Linked DNA regions of Medicago truncatula. The protein of the gene in region 2 binds, or shares a complex with, the protein of the main gene of each other region. Links are inferred from orthologs where the notes say so. Each region holds a gene or a part of one and is shown on either strand. Other genes may lie near its edges.

Region 1 (8,001 bases), on a different chromosome or scaffold from region 2:
ACAATCTCTTTTTTCTTGTGAACCTCTCCCTTGGGAAGTGGAACATACTCCTCAGCTTCAAGGTCAAACTCAGTAGCAAAAGCATCACTTCGGCCAACCCTTTTCACAGCCCCACTATTTGCCTCAATATATATAACATCCCCGACAGCTACCTGTACAATGTTCATAAGTCTCATGTATCAAAGCTGTAGAATGTTTGACACCAATATTTGTATAGATTTAAAATGAAAATAACTTCCCAGTTCCCGCCAAAATATAAAACAAAAAGTTATAAAATAGGGTAAATTACACTCACCTCCCTTGAAGTTTTCTTAAATAGCACTAACACCCCCTCTAGTTTTGAAATAAACATTAACCTCCCTTCTCATGTAACACCGTTAGCTTTCTGTTATTTTCATGACAAGAATTTAGAGATTAGCTACCATAATTTGGCTACCCACGACTGATTTCACACCTTCATTCAATTCACATCAATCCCCACCTTTTTCTTCTTCTTCTAAATTAACAAATTTCTCTTGATTTTACATCTTGCAATGATTTCAACAATATATTCTACTAATGAGTTCAGTTCAGATTTTCAATCGGTTTGTTTAGATTTCTTTGATTGATGCACTTAATTATTCTTCATCCTCTTGAATTTGGTTTATCTATTTTTTCAACCTAGAATTTCAGTTTCAATCTATCTAATTCCTTCTCCAATTCTGCAAAAGCCACGTTAAGCAATTCATCCAATTTTATTATGTTGATGTGAATTACAATCACTTCCTTCATCCTAAAATTGAATATTTTTTATGTTGAGCATCAAACTTCACGCCTCAAAAGCTGAGGTTTTATTTCAGTTCTTTCCATTAATCCATTTTTCACTAGGTAGAAGATAATCATTGTTATTCCTTTTCCATATTTATTTATTTTTTATATTTCATGTAATCCTTCCATTAGTCCATTTTCCACTAAATAGTATGAAGCATGTGAGTATAAAGAAGTTCGTTGAACAGCCTGGTGTGGCACCGTGGCCATTATTGTTTGGCGTTGTATGCAAATTGTAAAGCATAGATGAATGGTAGGGGGAGTAGTTTTTTCGACAAGGAAGCTAAGTTAACAGAGAACCAACGGTGTTACATGACAGGGGTGGTGTTTGTAGATTTGATTAAAAATTAAGGGAGATTAGTGTTTAGTTTTAAACTAGAGGGGGTGTTAGTGCTATTTAAGAAGACCTCAAGAGAGGTGAGTGTAATTTACCCTATAAAATATAAACACATGAACTTTCAAAAAGAGAAAAGAATAACAGCAAAACCAAACCTTTTCCTTGATCAAGGCATCATATATCGTGGGGTCCAACTTTAGTTGCTTGGTTCCTTTCACTGTCTTCAATCCAATTATCACATGGCTAATACTCTTACCATAACCTCCTGTTATACTCTCAGTTTCTTCAGGAGAGAGCTCGGTCACCTTGCACAGGACCAAAATTACATCAAAAAAACTTGATATAAAAAAAATTGCAGCAGACGAAGTAGTCAACAAACCAATCCCAGATTCCCATTTTTAACAAGTGAATCACAGCGAACTCACCTCGCCTTCATATACTTCCTTGTTTTCCTTAATACGTAGACCGATAGCCCGTCGAAAATTTTCCATAAGAACCTCAGTCTTCTTTACTTCCGTTGAGTATACTTCCGAACCAACCATTGGGCAGAATGGAACCTACAAAGTGGTATAAATAAATCTTATAACGTCACAGAAACAAAAGAATACAAGAATGATTTTCGGTGCAAAACCTTGGTCCCAAGCTCCTGACATATCCCAAGTGCTAATGCAGTCTTTCCGGTTCCGGGGGGCCCGGCGAGAAGGAGTGCCTTCCCAGCCATCTTCTTCTGGCGTATCATGTCGACCACAAGGCCACACGCTTCTCTTGCATCAGCTTGTCCCACAAACCCAGAAGCAAAAGGCACTGCTTTTCCACTGACCTGAACAATAACCAAACCAAAAAACAAGTAGTTGTTAACTTAAAATTGAAGCATTCAAAACATTTGAGCATGGCAAGAAATAAGCAAAAGGGTTTGGTTTCACCCGCAACAAACAGGCATGTGTAACACATAAAATCTGTGCTCATTTGGATCTATTGTTAAGGTTCAAATTTAGCTATTATTTTCACACACAGAAAACAGAGAAAAAAAACTTATTAAATTGAGGAAGAGAACAAACCTCAAGACCTAGGCCTTTAATGTGAGTGTGAGTAGCAACACGCTGTTTCTTTGTTGTCGACTGAACCTCTTCAATTTTCATCTTCTCCATCTCTCTCTAGATAAGGTTTTCAGTTTTCACTTTGCAATGGAGACTGAGACACAAAGATAGGATTAGTAACATTTAAAGAACTAGGGGCGACAAAATTGCAAATCAGTGAGCCACTAGTTGAAATTGAACCAAGTGACACAGATTCTATTGAACAATTTCAAAAAATTCATACCATACCTTAGAAAACCCAAAAAAAAAATCACAATACTATCAAATTAACATAATTTCACAATACTACAATAAGATACACTCAGCAAACAAACAGAACCATAGAGCACGCAGAATTGTGCCTACTTTATCTTCTCAGACCCCGACAAAAAGCCTAAAGACTTAAAATCAGAAGTATAACTCACAACAATAACAACCAAATTGTGATGTAAATACTATAATAAACGTTCATAAGCTTTGCATATGGACATATAGGAAATTTGAAATATATATTGCAAAAATTCAACAGAAATTTTAATATTTTCCCTCATCTTTCTAAATATACACATGACAAAGAACTCATAGATAAAATGCATTACAGAACTCAAACAAAGTATGAAACTATGAACAAATTCTCAATTAACAATTAAAACATTTAGCTGTTATGAATGATAATCCTATATGTTGGAAACAGAGAAACAAAATAAAAACTTGAAACTAGAAATCATTTGCTTATAACTTAAAACTCGATAGAAAAAAAAAAATTTTAAAAAAAAAGAGCAAAAAAAAAGCGATGAAATGAACAAGTTTGAACCTGTTGAAGTAGCTACAGCAATGGCGACGTAATCGCTGTCCAGTGAGCTGAGAGGGTTCCGTGAGTGCACCGTCGGCGAGCTCTCGGCGCCGGAATCGCTTTTTCTTACGGCGGTAGCGGCTAGGTTTAAGGGTAGAGAGAGAAAGAAGAAAATGTTTAGAGTGCAGAGAGAGTGTAAAACAAAACGAGAAAGAAGAGAGGGTTAGTTTATTAAACAAATGTTCATTTTTTTAATTTAAAATATCAACCCTTTGGATGTTTAGTTCCTCTCAAAAAAACAAAAAACTTTTTTGAAGAATAATTGTCATATGTCTTACCTCGGTACCTTCAGAGTGCGTTTGATTTGCTAAAAAACGATGGACAGTATAGAACAACTCTAGTTGTCCAGTGTTTGATTTGTAAAATTGTTTCAGGTACAGGAAAAACTGGAGGCAAGGGACAGGACAAAAACTCATATTTTTGTCCCTCACCAAACTACAGCACAACTTTTTGTCCCACGTACAAGTTGTCTAAAATACCAAAATAGCATTTTGTCCCTCAAAAATCGTATAAAACAAAAAATTACTCAATGACATAAAAAATTTGTTCTATGCTGTTCTGCCTTGTATTGTAGTGTTCTATCTTGTATTGTTCTGTCCAGTACTTGCTGTTTTGCAAACCAAACACACTATGTCTTACATGCGTATCTTAAATAGATTAAATGAAACATACTTAAACTCGATTTTGTGATAGTTTTGCGGCGCATGTGATTAAAAGGAGGGTGGGTATAATAGAGGATTGAGATTGAAACAAATGTAGAAGGCTAATCACTCCCATTGAATTAAAAGGGTTCAAAGAACAATTTTAAAAGTTAACTATATTCTCTATAAATTGTTATAATACCCCCTATGAAAGTTTCTCTTATATAACCGCCCCTATGAAAGTTAAAATTGAAAGAATGATTATTATAATAGAATACATATATTACGACTAAAGTATGAAACTAAGAACAAATTCCCCTGTTTTAAGAAAATTTTCTTACAATTTCATTTATGTTTATCTTTCTCCATTATCTTATCATATACTAAGTCATTCAAAACATGTCAAATTATCGATCTTTTAGTTCAAAAGTATGGTGGAGAGACCAAAACGATTAGATTTTGAAATAGAGGGACGATGAAAAAATAGGGACTAAAATTTAAATTAAGCTTATAATCAAAATATGTAATGTATCACATGATATGTAACGTATCACATTCTTTCAAAAATTATGTAACGCATCACATGAAAGTCAACCGAGAGAATTCAATATTAGGGTCCGCTTGGTACACAAGATATGATAGACAAGTGATATGATAAGAAGTTGGATATAATAGTGATAGGATAGTCACTTATGATATTATGTGTTTGGTAGACCACATTTTTTTTTAAAAGGTGGACCATCGGACAGAGATATGATAATATATATATATATTATATTATAGATTACAAATTTATCATGTAAACAAATATGAAGGCCTTTTATCATGTAAATAAATATAAAGCACCTCCTTGAAATCAGTTGATAAAATCATTATACATGTGAAGGTCTTTTACTATGGACTTGAAAAATTGGCCATAAAACTCAACCTTTCACATCACAAGATATTGGTTCCAATTGAAACTCCATGGAGATTCCAAAGCACTCTCCACGCCAATTAGACGATGTCTAAGGTGCACGATGTAAGCAAGTCAAAAAATGTATGTGAGTTATTAAGCATTGGAACTTAGGATGGTGTAAAAAGAATACTCCTTAATATTCACATTATTCACCACTTTGATGGTTTAAATCCCCAATACATGTCACGGCAAAAGACCATATTGTCATCAACTTTACTAAGAAGTGTCGTTAGTGTTTAATGGACATGTAGTAGTTTCTATTGTGAGGTCTATCTACTTTACTGATTGCCAAAACCATATTATTATCTGAACATATTTGGATCAACTACCTTAAATTTCAAGTACTTTAATTCAATTTAGATCGATTAATTATCCTCCTCTATCTAAATGATTCTTATCTCATACTAGTAAAGATTTTATGCAAGATTGCATAGAATGTAAAAATATTTTGAAAAACAAAAGTGTGACATTTAATCATTGTGCTCATAAAGCATTTTTCTTTAAACTGGTAAAAACTTCATATAAGATTGCACTAAAATGGTAAAAAATATCAAATAAAAAATTGAATATTTTCATGTGTCGTTAGGAAAAAGACATTTCCTAAAATACAAATACATTTCAGGAGGTCAATAAGTTATTCATCATAGAATAGCAAACAATAGAGGCAACTTCAACGTGAATAACCAATTCAATCTATTTAACGCAATATTAGGGAGTTTTACCACAACGCCTCAAATTTATGAACTTTGGTTATTTTTTGGTCCAATTACGAGACCAATTAAAAAATAAAAATTAGCGTCACTCAACAGGAAAATGAGGCAAACAAAAATTTATTCAATGACTTCAAAGTAATAAAGTATGATGTGCTCAAATTCATAAAAAAAAAAAATACAAAACCATAAGCTTTAAACCATTTTGATATTGGTTTGGGCATAACTTTCAATACAAAATAATAAAAATGTAAAATAATTTAGAAACCTCATGCTACAACAAAGGCAACTAATTTATCTGTAAAGATAGAATTTGTCCATAACTTAACTCACATCATTCAATGAAAATCCAATGCCTTCAACAATAATGCTTTAATTTGTACGGGGGTCAATTCTTGGTCTTTGCTGTGTTGCTGAAAAGAAACATGAAAAATTAAAATCAATATAACAAAACTTAGGATGACAATGACGGGTTAATAATGTGTGAGCACCACATTCAAACACCAAATATTTATTATTAACAACCAATTAAAAATCTCATAAGACATTTGACCTACTTCGTATTATTCTTCTTCGAAAGAAAAAAGCAAAGATGATTCGCTAGTTCGTATTATTTACAAAGATCTTTTGTAAATATTATCTCATTAAAATTGAGATTTTTTCTCATTTAAAAGATATATTTTTATTGTAAGAAGTAAAAAAGCTTTAATGTTCATTCATGGAATAATGGAAACAAAGAATGACAAGAGTAAATCTTGAAATTATAAATCTAATGATCAAAATTTACTCATATAATCTCAGAAAATAATTTTATGATAGTCAATACAAACATCCACATTATCCATATGATTACTTAAGTTCGCAAATTATTGCAAAAAAACATAAATGTAAGTGCAACTCTGAACTAAATAATTGTTGGTATGCTTTAAAAAGTCAAGTTACCATAGATAGATCGTACACCATTCATTACATTGTTCTCATGATCACATGTTAGCATCTAAAATAAATTTTGAAAGAATAATTAATGGAAATTATAAAATAAATGACATGGTAATCGAATAAGAAATTTTATAAAGTATAGTATTGAAAAATAAATGTATACCTCAGCTTTGAACACATCTAGAGAAAAATCATTAAAACAGCTTATGTTAGCCTGGTGAACATCCAATCCAAGGCTATCCAATGCCTTCATAATCGATGCCAAAACACCTGGTTTGTTGGCACAAAACATATGGATGTTGACAATTCCCTCTTCCCTTACCCTAACATCTACCTGCAAATACCATCATAGTATTATTTATACTTATATATTTGTTTTATACATGTATATAAAGTGAATAAACTGTTTATTTGGGGTGGTTTTTCCTTTCATTTTTATCATTATTTTAAACTGTTTTATCCTTTTTATAATTTTACTTGTATTGTTAATTTAAAAAATTGTCAAATTTTTAAAACAATAATTGAATACCCTTAAAATAAGAACAACCTCGTTACAATATATGAGCGATATTTAATACTATAAAAAGAGCTTATTTCAATCTTATTTTTATAATATCTAATCATTTTTTTTTTTAAATATTGATCATTATACATATCAAATTATCTATAAAATTAAGTGTGATAGAAAATCGGACAGACGGTTATGTTAGTGCTCATCTTTTTGCTAACTAATATTTGTTACACTAAAATTAAGTGTGGTTGGCATTGACACAGTGTTTGACTTAATTACACTTTTGGTTTCTCTATTTAATCAAATTCACAAAAGTAGTCCATCTTTTTTAAAATTGAACTATCTAGTCCTTCAATATTCACATTTATTACAATTTTAGTCTCAACATATATTTCATGCCCCCAAAATAGGTAATTTGTTACCCTAGGGTGGTGGTTTATTGCTCAAATGTTAAATTCCAAGATAAAGTATCACTTTTTGGAGTAATTTTTTTTTTTTTTTTTTTACATAAAAATAATCGATTTTGTGGCAACAAGTATTAGTTTAGACAAAAACTACAACAAATGTGAAAATAGAAGAACTAGAAAATTCATTTTAAAAAAAAGGGATGATTTCACATTTAGTTAAATATGGGGTCAACAATACAATTAAATCAACCTATTTCTATAAATATTTTTTATCGAATTTAGATATCAAGTGAAAGTATCCAAAATGAACAAAAAAAAGTTTCATACATGCTTCAGTTTTCAATTATAGTTATCAATTGCATGTCTTGTCCAATCTTTTAGATTTTTTAGTAAGTTATATTACACGCTTTGTAATTGTGAACAAAAACGCAAATACAATTCTCATGTGTGTGCGTGGGCGCGCGCGTGTGTGTATGTAATATTTCGCACAAAATACACCAAAAAAATCCAAAATATAAGACTCCTAATGATGTCAACAAAACAGTGAATGAAATGTCTTCATTTTACATATTAATGTATATTTTGAGTGTAGTAAGCATTTATTGATATGGAATAAGAACTTTCTATTAAAGTAAATAAGTACCTTTGTTGGTTGGTTTTTAAGACCTGACACATTGTTAGGACATAACTTTTCTTTCATTTGAACTGGAAGGGCTGACATGGTAGATGTCATAATGTGAGTTCCTGTAGGCGGTGGCATAA
Region 2 (7,970 bases):
GTGGATGCTGCTGCTTCCATTAACTTTTGTCTCGGACTTTGCCACTTTTTCTACAGTGTTTCTTAGTGCTTTGGATGCTTTATGTAGAATTTCCTGGACGAAAGGAATTTTAAAAGTTTAATTTGTGCACTAGAGAGAAGTGAGGAAAAACATAGACATGAAACAAGAACATAGACACTAAGTATCCTAGTGTCTCGTCGTGAAGCCTGGTCATAAAGTAAGTGTCATGTCATGTTTTTGTGAAGTAGCCATTGCTGCCTGAATTGAGGGCATGAGACGGGTATATCAAAAGCCACTATGCCCAACAGACCATTAAATCCCCATTTATTTCCCTTTTTGTTTGACTGCCCCTCCAATTTTTAAGGTGATTTAAAGAATTTATACGGTTTCCACTCTGATTCTTTCCACCATTTTCTTGCAAACCCGTCCTTATCCAGCAGCAAATATGTTTTCTAGCATTCCCAAAATTATTCTGGCAGCCGCTTGAACTATGTTGAATTTGTTCATTCGAAACTTTGGTCATAGTGCAAGAAATAGATATAAGCTGCCTAAATAGATCCTAAACAATCCTTTCCTGGCATGAGCTATGTAACACCAGGTTTCACTAAAAAATTGCCCCATAAGGCCTGAATCTATGCTGACAAACAGAAGACTTCAAAATTAAGGAAAACACTTTTGACTAGTATATATCACTCGTTTTCATGGAGAAAAATCTCTATATATAACATTCATCATCTAAAATCGTATCATTTGCAGTTTGTAACTCTACATTACCCAAAATATTCCTCTAAACCAATGTTGCTAAACATCAGCGATGGCAACCTGACCAATTTGTGAAGGACGGTGGCGTCTTGACGGCATCAATAACACTGCTCTCAAGTATATTATCCCTCGTTCCGTTTCTAATGTTGTAATTCTCTATTCCATCCTAACTACTAAATCTAAGCCCCTTTAATCCCAAATCTTTCTTTAAGACATCAACTCGTTTGATTTGGGATTACATCTCAATGTATGCAATTATGTAATGATGGATGAACCTAAAATTTAAATTTTGTGCCAACTCTAACGGTCAACCCTTGTTTTCAATGCTCGTGGCCTATATGTACTGATGGATGAACCTAAAATTTAATTTTGCGCCAACTCGAACGGTCAACCCTTGTTTTCAATGCTCGTGGCCTATATAGCTATTAAAATAGAAAATATGAAGTATTAAAACCACGTTTCTTTCTAGTAGTCATGTAATAATACCGCAAAAACTTGTGTGCTTACCTTCTCATACAGTGACTTAGCATCGGCATACTGTTTCTTGACTTCTTGATTGTTAGGTTCCAACCTCATGGCAAACTCGGCATCTGTAATTTAGGGAAATAGATGGTTAATGAATTCAAATATCAGAATGCTTTTGTATTAAGAAAAAACATATGTATATGACTTGCATATTAAGTTCACACACCCTCCATGGATTCTTTATTTTTGCCAAGTTCTTTTCTAGCCGTTGCTCGCCGAGAGTATGCTTTTATGTACCGATCATCAAGATTTAAGGCCTCTGTACAGTCATCCTCAGCCTCTTGAAATCTGCTGACACATAGTTGAGGAATGAAACATAAAATCGTTAGCCAAAAAACTCTTTACGAGCATCAGTAAGGTGATATACCAATTAACACATGACAGTACGTGAAAAACTACTTTCTGATATTTAGGATCACACAATTGTAAAAGACCATAATTTAGTGAAAATTTTATGAATAAGCTATAATTCTTTCAAGACAAAATGCAATCTTGCCTTCTTAGCTTTATATGGGCCATTGCCCTATTTGCATAGGCTACAGCAGTGGGTGAGAAGGCAATGCTCCTTGAATAGCAATCAATAGCTTCCTTAAACTTCTTCTGTTTGAAAAACTCATTACCCTGTAATAGACGGATGGATTGCAGTATCTTCAGAATCACACAAGACGGCAACATAAAAATCAATCCATAATCTATTTATTATTGCTAAAATAATGATCTGTCGGGACACATGTCAGTTCATGACCATCTGATTTCCCACCCAATAACATTTATTTAGACCCATGTTATATAAAGGGTTTCAGTATTAGCAGTATCCAAACAAATTGATTTGCCCCACCCGCAAGACCAAAACAGTTAGAAGAGAGGGAAAAAAGCTCCTACCAGGTCTTTCTCAGAAGCAGCATCAGGAACATCTTCAGAAGCCAAACTGCTACTCACACGACTCAACACGTCATTATTTCTTGAGAAATCATACTGAGCTGAAGAACTTCTCACATGATCAACAGCAATAGTATCTCCTTTTGATCTATTCTCCACACCCATTGATCGATCACTCCGAGAAGATGAACCCTTTATGAATTTCTATGAAAATATAATACGTCACAAATGAATTAATACATCCATACATAAGCAAGCACATACATATATAGCATACCAATATATATGGAAAATAAAGAGGGTCCTTTTCCCATCAACACACCATTGAAACATAAAGTAAGCATGAAAGTTAAGAGAAGAACCAAGTAAATAAAAATCAATTCTAGGATAAAAAACTCCAACTTCTAGCTTCAAGTAGAATCAATTCGAGAGAAAAAATCAATTCTACTCCAGAGCAATCAAACATGTCATAATCAATTTTGGCCACCGCAAGAAGTGAAACCAAAGATACACTAATTCAAAACATTAATCTCACTTTTCATTACTCCTCACAAAGTTGCACATGTATAGTAATTGCAACAAGAAGGTTAAGATAAAATTACCAACATTTTCCTTATGTGACTTCGTTTTGGACGCTTTATCCTTTGTAGAAAGTTCCCAATCCTGCAAGTCGTTTAAGAAACCCTGAAAATCCTGAGAATACAAAAAATCAACGATTAGAAGTATAGGAAAAAGAAACGGTGAAGTATTAAAGTTGCTAAAATCAAATGGAACCGTGAAGAATTAATTAACTGTACCATTTTGTGATGTGATCGTAGCGGTGAAATGAAGTTCAGTTCTGCGTGCTTACAATGAAGTATGAACTATGGAAAAATTGCTTAGTTTGAGACGAAGGGGGTAAAGTAATGGAATGTTTAGAAAGAAGTTTCGCGAAGAAGTACCAATTATAATAAGCCCAAACATTATATTGGGCTAACTATGGTTTACGTGGCTCAAGGCCCAAAATATATTACTAACTTTCTAATATTTTTTTATCGCTATTACTTTTTCCATACTATCAGTTTCTCACGCACCCTATTTTTTTTCAAGAATACCTTTATTAGGATACATTATGTTGAGCTGAATGTTTTTTTTTTTTACTCATTAAGAAACAATTCTTAATCAAGTTTTTTTTATTTTACGATCGAACTCTAGATTGCTATGGTTTAATTCCCCTAAGAAATGCAGGGCTAACACCCAAAAAAAATTAAAAATTAGTTGAATCTCATTAAAATAAGATTAATACATAACAATAGCAACAATATTGAACATTATAAAAAAAAATATCTTATTTTGTCCTTGTATAAAAAAAGTATTTCGATGTAAAAAAAATCTTCCAATTTACCTTTCATTTAATTAGTTTATTTTTATCTTTTCATCAACTTTTACCAATAAAACGAAAAGATGAACACGTTAATATGCGTCTTGATCTCAATTACTATAAAATAGTATATCTTTAAGCAGTTTTACATATTTCAAACAAGAAAAACACTTGTCTTAAAATAAGTGTACAAAATCATCTACGCTGGAGACATCCATTTTTAAATACTTAAATAAGTCTTACGGGAATACATCATTCATTTATAATTTTTTAATAGTAGTACATACTTCATCCGTCTCATAATAACTGAGTCATTTTGTAACACCCAGTTTTCCCAACGTAAAAATTTCATTTATTTAATCAGAGTAATTTACATAAACGGAATGTCACATTTCTTTTCTTAAAATCATAAACGGAATAATTAATTAATTATCCTTCAAAATTCAATAACATAATATTTAATAATTCACAGCGGAATTTATTCGAACATCTAAAATAATTTTGGCACGAAGGCCTCATCAAAGTATCTCATAAAAATCCAATTAACAACTTAATCATGTAAATTCATAAGTAATACGTAAGGAATAGAAAAGCATGCAACAAAGTTTCCATCCCGTTACGTTAAGAAATCGATTGCAAGGTTCTCTTCTCGTTCCTCCTCTTCTCTAGGTTTTCTCCATCTTTCTCCAAAAACTGGTTGTACGTGAAAAACTATTCTGACTTCTCACTTTTCTCTTTTTATAACCTTAACCTACCTATTTTCTCTTAACTCCACTTATTCTCTTAAACTCTTATAAATTCCCAAATCAGCCCCCAAAATATCAATATTCTATTTTAATATATATATAAAATACTTCTACACCAAATAACAAATATATTTCTACACTAGATAATATAATATAATATACTACTAAAACACCAACCTATAACACAAAAATAACACACATCATCATAAATCAAATAAATTATTTAAAAAGACTCTAAACTCAATAAAATAATCAAATAAAACAAATAGTTCAAAGAGGGCGTTACACATTTCACTTTTTAATACAATATTATTAATGATTTTTTTTCCTTTATAACTCTAATTAATACTATTTCGTCATTTTCAATTCAATATATTCCACTTTTCATTCGAATGCATTAATACTTAACAAGTGCATTTAAAACTATTTTTCTCTCCTTCATTTATACATTTTTCTTAATACATGTGAAATGAGCTTTTGGCTCTGTTAATGCGGGACGGAAGGAGTATAATTACTCAATCCTTCAACCCAACATATCACACAAATCACTAATTAACTATAAAAAAATTATACTATTATTACACATCAAATTTTTAACATTCAAAGAGCGTGGATCCCACTTAAAAATAGGATCTTGAGTGAGATACTTGGTCCGATAAGACCCCAAAAAAATATCCTGTCAAAGGAGGTACGTAATAGGCATCCAGCCGATTAAGCCTCTCCCATTGGAATGGTTTACCATCCTAAAACAAAGCACACTTGAACTTTGAATTTGTTTTGATAAGTCCTCTTTTGATTTTGTAAAGTGAGGAATGTTAACAACACTCATTTTTGAGTATTCTCTAACATTCACTCTTTCATTGGATAAAACCCATGTATGTTCCACCATTTTATGTGGGTTCAATTTTCAAAGTCTAGATCTACAATGATTTAAACTAATAAGAGAGAGTGTTGCTACCGTTCCTCTCATAAAGTATAGCCAGGCTCTCGGCTATGTCTTGAGGGTGGGGAATGCATTTTCTCGGGAAATTAAAGTTTGGGTTAGGTTAGGGTGACGGTGGATGTAATTTCAGGTCCTAGAAATAAATAAGGTTGAACAACAATGGTTAGACCTCAAATAAGAAGAGACAGTGAAAACTGTCTACAGTCACGGCACAATGATAGAGTAGTAGGGTCGTGGATGACGGATGCAAGCTCTGTAGTCTGCATAAAAGAGGTGCAGTGGTCTTGTCAACATGATTGCCACCACTGTTATGTAGTATTTGTGTTATTATTTGCCTTTCATTTCAATTCAATTCAAGTAAATGAAAAAAGCATCTCCCTCTCTCCCTCACTCTTTCTTTTACGTACAACACCTCACTCTCAGGGCCCCTTTCTTTATCATCTTCATGTTCATTCAACCACTCAACTCAATCTTAAAAAACTAACAATAAATCAATCACTCACACATTCAATCAATCACACATCACTCCCCCCATTTTTCGAATTTCTCTTTCCCTTCACTCACTCATTGTCATTACTATACCACCACTACCATTTACCACCACTATTCAACAATACTTTCATATTTTTATTAATAAAAATACAATATTGCTCATCAATAATAAAAATAGCAATTAGAGTTCAAATTTAAATAAGTTCCCAATATTGCTGCTCTTTGAGAATTATTTGAGAAACTTAATCGTTTTCTAGTGAACACATAAACTTAAATTTTTTAATTTGGCAAAAAAAATAAAAAATCACAATAGATGCAATTATACAAAGGTAGACATGTGATTATAAATCTGATGCCAAAATAAAGCATGTATGATTAGTGTGTTTTTTTAGACAGGTGTCGTCGAAAACTAAGACAAACAATTTTAAGATTATGAGTTGATAAAGACATCTAACATAGCAGCAATGTCACTTAAGCAGAGCCGTTTCTAAAGTTTTGGTGGCAAGCCTATAATTCTAATCTTAAATAACAGGTAATAAAAAGAATTAATTTTGCAATTTTGGCCTCCTAAGTATCAAAACAACAATTTTTTTTATTTTTTTTATTTTTTTAATTTAAAAATTGATTTTTTGGTTTTTAAATTTTTTTAATTAATTAATTACACACGTGGCCTACCACGTAGGCGTTGAATAAGTCAAAATTGATCAAAAAGACCAAAGATGCAAAGGGGCTAAATCTTAGGGGCCAAAATTGTGGTTTCTATATTTAGGGAGCCAAAATTGCAAGTTTTTGAAAGTTAAGGGGGGAAAAGTACACTTTAACCTTAATTTTTTTTTAAAGTGTGAACATAATTTACTCTAACATGGTAGTTTAACTACATTACAAAATTATCTAATAAAAAAATCAAAATTCATAAAAAAAAAAAATCATTGAATTAATTATTTAATATTCAAATTTTCACAAAGGTGTTGATTTTTCAAAGAGTTGGAGAAGGGTCACTCTAACCGGGGATAATAAATGGATGGGTAAAACATAAATCATCATATTAATCAATTTAATGACAAAAACTTTTTCCTTTCTGACGAGGTCAATCAAATGGATCCAATAAATATCAAAATCTCCTTTCATAAAACATATCTAATGATAGACAACTCTCAATAAACTTCAGTTGCTATATAAATACATACTTTTATTTATAAATTTAAGTATTATATAAATAGTTGTTTAAATAACACACATTTATCTAACAGTCACGCATTTGTATGATATATGACCACCTTGCAAGATTATGAGCAATATGGGTCTTAACTTGGTGTGGTAACGCACTTATGAATGAATTAAAAGAGTCCAAAACGCCTTTAGAATCAAAAGAGAAAATGACTTCCTTCAAATCCAATTCCCACATTCATTCAATAATTGATAGCAAACCCAATGCATCTCCAAAAGTAACATCAGCAACTAATCTTATAATATGTGAGGATCCAGATCAATGTGATATTAGAGTCTCGTCTGAAAAAGTGGATGCATATCATATGAATGTAATAAAAAGAGTGAGCAAGGAAGAAAACCGCATAACCATAGAAACACTATAACTAAAAATCAACCTATTACTCTCACCTCCTCACCTTTCAATCCCAAACTTGTTGTATCTCTCCGAGAAATATGCATCAATATTTCACATTTTGAATCCACTCTAATAATTCGTCTTACACCATAGTAATTAGTCTCATAATTAATATTCGAACTTGTATACAGTAGGTACACTAGTAATTCCACAAATAAGCAGATTGGACTATTGACAACAACCTAGCGTGGCCCATTTGCATCCAACCAGGGCCCTCGTCTACTCCAGTCACATTCCAAATCTAAGTGTGATTTTAATTTCAGAATTAATTAAGTTTTTTTTTTTTTTTTTTAAAAAAAATGTCACTTTTCCAAAACTATTTTTATAACTATTAATATCATAAAAGGGAAAAAAATTATGTTTTTCAATGATTCTTTTTTTGACTCATAATAAATTAAATATGGATTTTTTTTTAATACCATCAATACATGAGGAATTTTAATATTTTTTTAAGGAAGGAATTTTGATATTTAATATATAGAGTGGGGATGTCTGTTATTATGATTTTTTTTTATCTATTCACATTTATGAAAACAAAAAAGTAAAATAAAAATGTGTTAATTGCTGCAAGACAATTTTTTTTTTTTTGTGTGTGGTGCAATGAAAGTTGGGTTTAACATAAGAAATTAATCTTTCACA

What was found.
Region 1: the proteins of RNA polymerase II-associated protein 3 (region 2) and ruvB-like protein 1 are in contact, whole or in part, in a cryo-EM structure (PDB 9EQ2), measured with the Arabidopsis thaliana proteins. The link is inferred for Medicago truncatula from reciprocal best matches to the Arabidopsis thaliana genes TPR5 and RIN1. Residues at the interface, in NP_176039.2 of Arabidopsis thaliana: Tyr357, Glu360, Asn361, Arg364, Ser365; in NP_197625.1 of Arabidopsis thaliana: Pro74, Gln366, Ile367, Tyr368, Asp369, Glu372.

What each region holds. Positions count from the first base shown.
Region 1 is NC_053044.1:51,407,728-51,415,728, forward strand, and holds the start of ruvB-like protein 1, read right to left. Parts: upstream 3,191-8,001; 5' UTR 3,035-3,190; intron 2,336-3,034; 5' UTR 2,293-2,335; coding exon 2,203-2,292; intron 1,965-2,202; coding exon 1,776-1,964; intron 1,702-1,775; coding exon 1,570-1,701; intron 1,450-1,569; coding exon 1,300-1,449; intron 153-1,299; coding exon 1-152. Other genes in the region: transcription factor ICE1, read right to left, coding at 5,721-5,795, 6,485-6,655, 7,883-8,001. UniProt on the Arabidopsis thaliana protein: Proposed core component of the chromatin remodeling INO80 complex which is involved in transcriptional regulation, DNA replication and probably DNA repair.
Region 2 is NC_053042.1:41,376,930-41,384,899, forward strand, and holds the start of RNA polymerase II-associated protein 3, read right to left. Parts: upstream 3,096-7,970; 5' UTR 2,967-3,095; coding exon 2,964-2,966; intron 2,860-2,963; coding exon 2,773-2,859; coding exon of another isoform or gene 2,769-2,772; intron 2,371-2,768; coding exon 2,170-2,370; intron 1,909-2,169; coding exon 1,784-1,908; intron 1,579-1,783; coding exon 1,454-1,578; intron 1,353-1,453; coding exon 1,270-1,352; intron 94-1,269; coding exon 1-93.